2 linked regions of the Oryza sativa Japonica Group genome follow. The protein of the gene in region 1 binds, or shares a complex with, the protein of each later gene. Links are inferred from orthologs where the notes say so. Each region holds a gene or a part of one and is shown on either strand. Other genes may lie near its edges.

Region 1 (2,854 bases):
TACTAGGATATATGCGAGATTGTAGTAAAAGAGATGGAGACGAGGATTTTTATACAGGTTTGGGCCCCTGAATTGTCAGGTAATAACCCTACATCATGTTGGCCGAAGCCGGTATTACTCTTATTCACCATAATCACACCAGTACAATATTTGGGGTAGCTTATCTAACTGTTGTCGACATGGCGGTCTGAAGGTCTGACTCGTAGTCGACAACAGGGTAGTCTTCCTCCTCGAATCCGTGCCCGGCGAGATCAGAGATAGCGCTTTCGTCTCTCCTGACAGTATCCGGAGACACCGTAGGGGACTAGTCGTGCTTATCCCTGAAGTCGATATCCGGCGTCTTGTCTTGGCGTATGTTGACTTGTATTGGCTTTGTGGCTTTGTGGCGTCTATGTTGTCCGTGTCCCCTCTCCTCCCAGGGGGCCTTGTATTTATACCCATAGGTGTCCTCTTATCCAAGTAGAACTAGGGAAACCAATATGGATACAATCCGAGTAGTCCTTGTCGTTTCCATATAGAACTCTAGTCATCATTCCTTATACGGAACTCCTCCTATATCCGAAGGTTGTTTCCGTATAACACATGGTATGTGGTGGATCATGTTGAGATTTAGTCAACTACTATTAGGTATGTGGTATCTATAACCCTGACAAGGCCCAAATTTAAATACAACATATAAACACCCAAAGTTGTGATTGAAATACCAAAAGATAATAAAGATTATTGGAAGACGAATCTAGACTCTATATAGGAATATAATTTAGAAATAACTAAAATTTGATATTAAAAATAACTAATAACTATCATGTATGTACAATACAATTTGAATATTCCACATTACTAGTTTGGTAAAGTGAGTACAAAATTTAAAATTATTGTCATTTTAATATATTTTAATAATAAAATAAGAAATATATATATATATATATATATATATATATATATATATATATATATATATATATATATATATATATATATATATATATATATATATATATATATATATATATATATGCTATTATATAAGAGAAATATAAGAATGCTAGCCACCATGCTAGTGTTAAAGAAAAGGGGATCAGATTATTGCAAATTTGAATACAATTTGCTAGAAAAAAAATCTTAATCTCAAGGATGCATGAAATTCGGCTTCTTTAAACTGGTTGGCTCGGAGGACCAAATGACCCTTGGGATGGTCGCAGGTCAGTGTAGACATCCACCTCGCCAATCGCCATCCACCCCCAACCTTCAGCTGGCTCGGCAATCGGCATCTCTTATCCTCACGTGCGCACCACCTGCTCGATGAAATTCCCCACACGGCCACCAACCGTGCCGATGGCACCCGCCACCGCCACCGCCGTGGCGTCCCCCTCCACCTCCTCCCGGCTCCTACACCGCAGCCTCCTCTCGCCAACACCCACGGCCGCTCGCTGCCTCCGGCCGCCGCTGTGCCGCGGGCGCCTCCGCACCGTTCGCCAGGTTGTCGCCAACGGCGACGTCTCCTCGCCGTCCTCGGACGTGGCCGCCGAGGAGTCCGCGGCGGCCCCCAAGATCGGCAAGCGCGTGCGCGTCACGGCGCCGGTACGCGTCCACCACGTCTCCAAGGCGCCGGACCTGGACATCTGTGGCATGGAGGGTGTGGTCAAGCAGTACGTCGGCATCTGGAAGGGCAAACGCATCACGGCCAATCTCCCCTTCAAGGTGGAGTTCGAGCTCAGGGTGGATGGGCAGGACAAACCGGTCCGGTTCTTCGCCCACCTTCGAGAGGACGAATTCGAGCTCGTCGAAGACGAATAGCTGAATAGGTCTCTTTTACAGAATAATGTGCTCTCGTCGTCTGCAGTCTGCAGATGCAGTATCTGTATATTAGAAGAGAAGATTGAAGAGGGTGCGAGGAGATCGCAAGTAAGTTGTTGTTTGTTTACTTGTCGCGTGCTCTTCCTCACTCTTTTGTAGTTCTGTTAAACACCAACATTTTGAGATTTGAGAAACTGAGAACGGTTCGGATTATGACAATTATGAATGAAAGTGGTTATACTGATGGTTCTGTTGTTGGCTGTATTCAGTAGTATTTTTTCCAGTTATCTTTTCAAGAGAATTCGCTGCTTATAAGAATATGTTACTCATCAGGATGGAAATCAATCTCTCTGACTAGCGTAACCTTTTAGCATTTGATTGGAATATCGGATCGTATTTATCTATTGGTCTGTTCACTTGAACATTTATCCCACAGTCCCAATTTCAATTGTTATGAGCTTATTTAGTTGCTGCAGTAATAGCATTGAGAACTTGGCTCAGGGTTGCTAGCCAACTAAACTAGACATGTTAATTCTTAGTAGCACAATTGGTTTCTCAAGACCTCGGTTATTGTTGGTGGCTCGGTTTACTCCACAAACTAGTAAATTACCAGTAGTGTTCACCAGGATTTTACCGTAGGCTTGTTTCGTCCCTCTGCCCATCAAATGTGGCCTTGCTGAGTTAGCCTTCCATGTTTCCAATTGAGTTACATGGTTTGAAATGTATTCACTGTTCTGGTTGAATTCCCTTGAATCTTGATCTGTCGAGTGAGAGCCATGCTTTAGGTTTGGCCTGTGCACATACATATTTGGACCTGACCAAACATAGATGGCACATGAACTGGATTGTGGAGGGTATTTAAGCTACTGTAGTTTGCCTCAACTTTAGACCTTGTGATTAGGTCCTGTGTGAAGGTAAAGTGCACATAGTTATTTATAGCACATGTTGGTGGTGATTCTCTCCAGATATATTACACCAGGTCATTAATGCTGGAAAACTTACTTATGTGGATATACTTTCTCCTCGTCCTCTACGGTGCTTGATGGAGTGCTTACTT
Region 2 (4,485 bases), on another chromosome or scaffold:
TCCTTGTGATCAGCAAGTCCCTGCAAAAATATTTTTAGTTGCTATTCAGAATCAAGAAGACACAGAAGGCAATCCTTAATTTTATACTTTTTACCAAGAAAGGGCTGGAACAATGACAACAGTCCACAGTTTATATTAAAATAAAAACAAGATGACTTCTCTCCTGTGATTAAACCAGAGTAGAGGAGCTGATTGTCAAGCTGATGGAGTTTTATCAGTTGGTATCAAGGAATGGCCCCAGTGGTTCCAAGAGTTAGCTAAAGGGATTGTGAATAGTGGTAGATTGTGATTCCCTTTTATTATCATTTGCGCTCATTTACCATGTCCTTTATACATTGGCTTGCTGGTTTACAACATTGATGGATCATTTGTTCCCCTCAATTGACACTATGGCCACAATGCAAGAGCTTAATCATGCCCTCTAAGCATTCACCAGTTTACTAACCCCTTGGAGTGTCACTGACAAGAAAATCCTACATAACACTCATAACTTTTTTGACCTTCTCGCCCATACCCAAACACTGTCTGATGATCGGCTGTGTCTTTGACCAAGTTACAGGTATGATTTCCATGGTCAACACACAACTACTTAGTCTTGTTAGTGACTCAGTGTCCGCAATGTACCAAATCAGTCACTGCAATGAAAGCGAAAAGAAATTATGTACCAACGGATAACAACAGTTCAAGAATATCAAGGTCTCAGTCCACAGAGTAGGCACATGAGGCAATAAATCAATGTAATATTGTTTTCTCGATGCTAGCTGTATGAGATTAGAAGAAAAGCTCTAATGTGAGAACAAATTTCCTTTTTGTTTAACCTTGATACATCTTAGCAAAATATGACTTAAATACTCCATTGAGATTGTAGGCAAATCAAAAGTAACAGGTACATGAGGACTCCTAGTCTAGACAAAAACTACATGGTCATAAAACTCATTCTAGTAATACTCATAGGATCCCACCAGAACAGATCCCAGGTATGACCTTAATCATCCAATAGCCCAAATACTATGCAGAAAAGTTAAAACACGATTTTTGAGTTACATATGATCCTACAATACGAACTGTCAACTCAAAAGGCATAAAGAGATCCACTATGCAACCAACAAAAAGATTATCCATGATTTAAAATGCATGTATACCCACCTCCAACAACTCAACCAACCATATCATCTATTCGTATATAGACCTTGTATCATAGCAATCGCCTTGATCTGTTTTCTACTCACGGATTTGTCACCATCTGAGGTAATTATTCCTCGCTGCTTGAGATCCACGATTTCGGACTATCAATTGGAGTACTCTTTTCTTACTCATGTTTGGGCAATTGTTGATTTCTTCTCCTTTGGCAGTTATCAGAGGAAATACCATTTGCTATTATTTATGTCTCTATTCTAGCAATGTAATTTAACAGGGAGATGCTGTCAAACTTTACCTGGGAATGGTAAACTATTTTGAGATTTGGGCACTTAGACAATGCAGTAATATGATTGATTATCTAGAGGATGGGGCTCAAATATATGCCTTTTATTATGTTGGACTTGGGTTTTCTATTTTTTTTCATGAAGAGATTGCTGTGAATACACTCTTCATATACATTTTAGTTCAGTAATCAGCATTCAGCTGGCATGCTTCACTGTTTCTGCTCTAGTTGTTTCATATCCCAAACAGCACTGGGAAAGAAATACATGTTGCATTCAAAGTTCCTTTTGTGCTCTGAAAATCTCAGGCAGTACGCAGCACTCACCTTCTACATCAATGCAACCTAGGATACTTAAAACTGTGTGTTAACTTAGCGTGTTGAACCAATGAGGTGTATGGAAGGCCTTGCTAACCAATGGAAAATCAGGGGCATACTGGCAGGTTCTCTTCTACCTAAGATTGAAGCCTACTGCATCAACTTTCAACAGCAGCAATAGGGCGTAATAATCTTCTTATCAAGCTGCAGGTACAGAACACATGAAATAGCAGCATAGAAGAATTTGTTTGTGGCTAAGATGATTTTTGCTAGTATTTGATTTGTATGTGCACGCAGTGAGATTTTTTTAAAAGTAAAGTTTAACGAGGATTCAAGAGAGAAGTAGAAAATAGATTTGGTTCCATTACCTTGATAACAACGGCGGTGACGGACTTCTCGGAACAGAAGAAGGTGTTGGAGCGGCGGGCGTACTGCTCAGAGAATTTGCGCATAATCTCGAGCGACTTATCAGATGCATCCGCTCCGGCAGCTCCAGCTGTGTACCCCCAAATTAAGCAAAAGAAATCAGAAATCGATCAGATTACAGAGTACTGCATAGATTGAGTAGACGGATACCTTGAACTCGAACTGTGCATTTGCGTCCTCTGGGCATGGGTGAAGGGCAAAAGGGGCTGGCGGTGGTGGAGGCCATCGACATCATTGCTGGACAGCAGCCCACCGATCTGCGAGATGACAAAGGTGTATGTTGTAAAAAACTAATGTTGCTCATTGATCACTCTTAAGAAACATCTTGTAGTTGCAAAAATTATGTGGGTTATACATACCCTTTCTAATACTACTGGGTTGCGATGTAATTATACTAATGGTATGTTTAGATGTAATGATCCTCAACACCTCTTCAAAAGGGAACCTAAATTAAAAACTTGGGGAGGCGCAGCGCTGACGATGACCAACACGATAACATCACCTCACCTCCCAACACGATAGCAACTAGCAAGCAGGTACGATGGAGCGCCATCCCTAACTAAATCAAACCCCCCGACAGAAATAGATCGAGAAAAAAACATAGGGAGGAAGAGGAGAGCACATGTGCATACATACCCTGCTTCTCGGATTGGGAGGGGCTGAGAGGGAGTGAGGAGAACTCCTCGTCGGCACGCGCGCGCGGCGGACGAGGGGGGCGGGCGGTGGCGGCGGCGGCGGCGGCGGCACGCGCGGGAGGGAGGGAGCGAGAGAGAGAGAGAGAGAGGAGGATGGGGAATGAAAGGAGGAGGGGCGTGGAGAGGAGAGGAGAGCCGGTAAACTGGGAGTGGTGGAGAACTGGAGACGTGGTGGAGTGTTTGCCTTTTTCGCGAGAACGACCTCGTTCTCTCACGTTTTTAGATCATAGTCTTGCGAAACTTGATTTGTCCTTATATTTTCGGAAAGTATAGGGGTGTTTTGAATAAACTTCTCTGATGATGAAGGGTTTTTTTTTTTTTTTGCAAAAGTTGAACATCGGTTTAGGCATGTTCACTTTGATGCCAAAAAAATATTAAATTTTGGTAACTTGCCAAAATTTTAGCAGGATTTCTTATATAGTTATCAAAATTTGGCAGCAAACTAAATGTAACCACTTTTTTTTTGGTAACTTTACTAAAACTTGGTAAGGTTAAAAATGACATCAAAGTGAACAGGCCCTTAGTTGGGGAAAATTTTTGGGTTTGGTTGTCACATAAGATATACAGACACACATTTAAAGTATTAAACGTAATCTAATAATAAAACAAATTAAAGATTTCATCAGGAAACTGCGAGACGAATTTATTAAGCCTAATTAATCCGTCATTAGCAAATGTTACTGTAGCACCACATTGTCAAATCATGCCGCAATTAGATTTAAAAGATTCGTCTCGCAATTTATATGCAATTCTGTGTAATTAGGTTTTTTTTCCTACATTTAATACTCCATGCATGTGTTCAAACATTCAATGTGACAGCTGTTTACACCCAAATTTAGCACCTATGTAACGCCCCGATTTTTGTTCGGGATTAAAAATCATTAAATAATGTATTTTCTAGAAATTAAATAAAATTTAAAGCAATTTAATCAAGTGAATTATTGAGGGAATTAAAAATTTCCTTTAAAAATTATTGGCCGAGAATATTTTGTAATATTCTTTGTGCCTTAAAATACTCTCTGAAATTTCCCGCGAATTTTCGGAGCTCGAGAAATAATTTGAATAGTACAAAGTTCATTTAACCAATTAAATAAAATGAAAAACAAATTAAAAACCTCCTCTCTCCCTTTTGGGCCACTCCCGGCCCAATCCCCCTTTCTCTCCCGCGGCCCGCGCGCCTCTCTCCCTTCCTCCCCGGCCTCCCCTCTCCTCTCTTGGGCCGTCGGCCCGTTTCCCCTTCCCCTCGCGCAAAGTCTAAATAACCCCCGGCTTCTCCTCCCTCTCTCCCTCCCCGACAGGTGGGCCCGGCGACCCCACCTGTCAGGCTCTTCCTCTACCTTCGGCTTCCCAGGCAGAAGCCGCCATGGACGGTCGTTGCCGCCCACGTCGCCGCCAATTCCGGGTCCTCCCGCCTGCGCCCTCGCGCCTGAACCGCATGAAATCGGTTCCCCACCACCTCCTCCACCAAATCCCCCACTTTTCCCCAATTTTCGGCGCCAAATCGAGTCCCCACTCCGCGCATGTTGACCTCCACGTCGCCGGCCGTTACCGCCCCAAATTCGCCACTCCCCGGCCTCCCCGTTGCTCCCTCGCGCTATATAAAGCACCCCCGTGCTCCCCTCTTCC

What was found.
Region 2: the proteins of ferredoxin-thioredoxin reductase, variable chain (region 1) and ferredoxin-thioredoxin reductase catalytic chain, chloroplastic are in contact, whole or in part, in a crystal structure (PDB 7C3F), measured with the Arabidopsis thaliana proteins. The link is inferred for Oryza sativa Japonica Group from reciprocal best matches to the Arabidopsis thaliana genes FTRA2 and AT2G04700. Residues at the interface, in NP_568195.1 of Arabidopsis thaliana: Leu116, Lys117, Val118, Tyr119, His120, Val140, Trp143, Lys146, Lys147, Ile148, Ser149, Ala150, Asn151, Leu152, Phe171, Thr172, His173, Leu174, Lys175, Glu178; in NP_001323778.1 of Arabidopsis thaliana: Arg88, His89, Tyr90, Asp92, Ala95, Glu96, Gly98, Gln99, Phe101, Trp102, Val107, Pro108, Arg110, Glu111, Arg112, Lys113.

What each region holds. Positions count from the first base shown.
Region 1 is NC_089038.1:26,933,840-26,936,693, reverse strand, and holds ferredoxin-thioredoxin reductase, variable chain, read left to right. Parts: upstream 1-1,189; 5' UTR 1,190-1,302; coding exon 1,303-1,797; 3' UTR 1,798-2,061; downstream 2,062-2,854. UniProt on the Arabidopsis thaliana protein: Variable subunit of the ferredoxin-thioredoxin reductase (FTR), which catalyzes the two-electron reduction of thioredoxins by the electrons provided by reduced ferredoxin.
Region 2 is NC_089043.1:8,137,144-8,141,628, reverse strand, and holds the start of ferredoxin-thioredoxin reductase catalytic chain, chloroplastic, read right to left. Parts: upstream 2,966-4,485; 5' UTR 2,801-2,965; intron 2,422-2,800; 5' UTR 2,400-2,421; coding exon 2,315-2,399; intron 2,235-2,314; coding exon 2,107-2,234; intron 21-2,106; coding exon 1-20. UniProt on the Arabidopsis thaliana protein: Catalytic subunit of the ferredoxin-thioredoxin reductase (FTR), which catalyzes the two-electron reduction of thioredoxins by the electrons provided by reduced ferredoxin.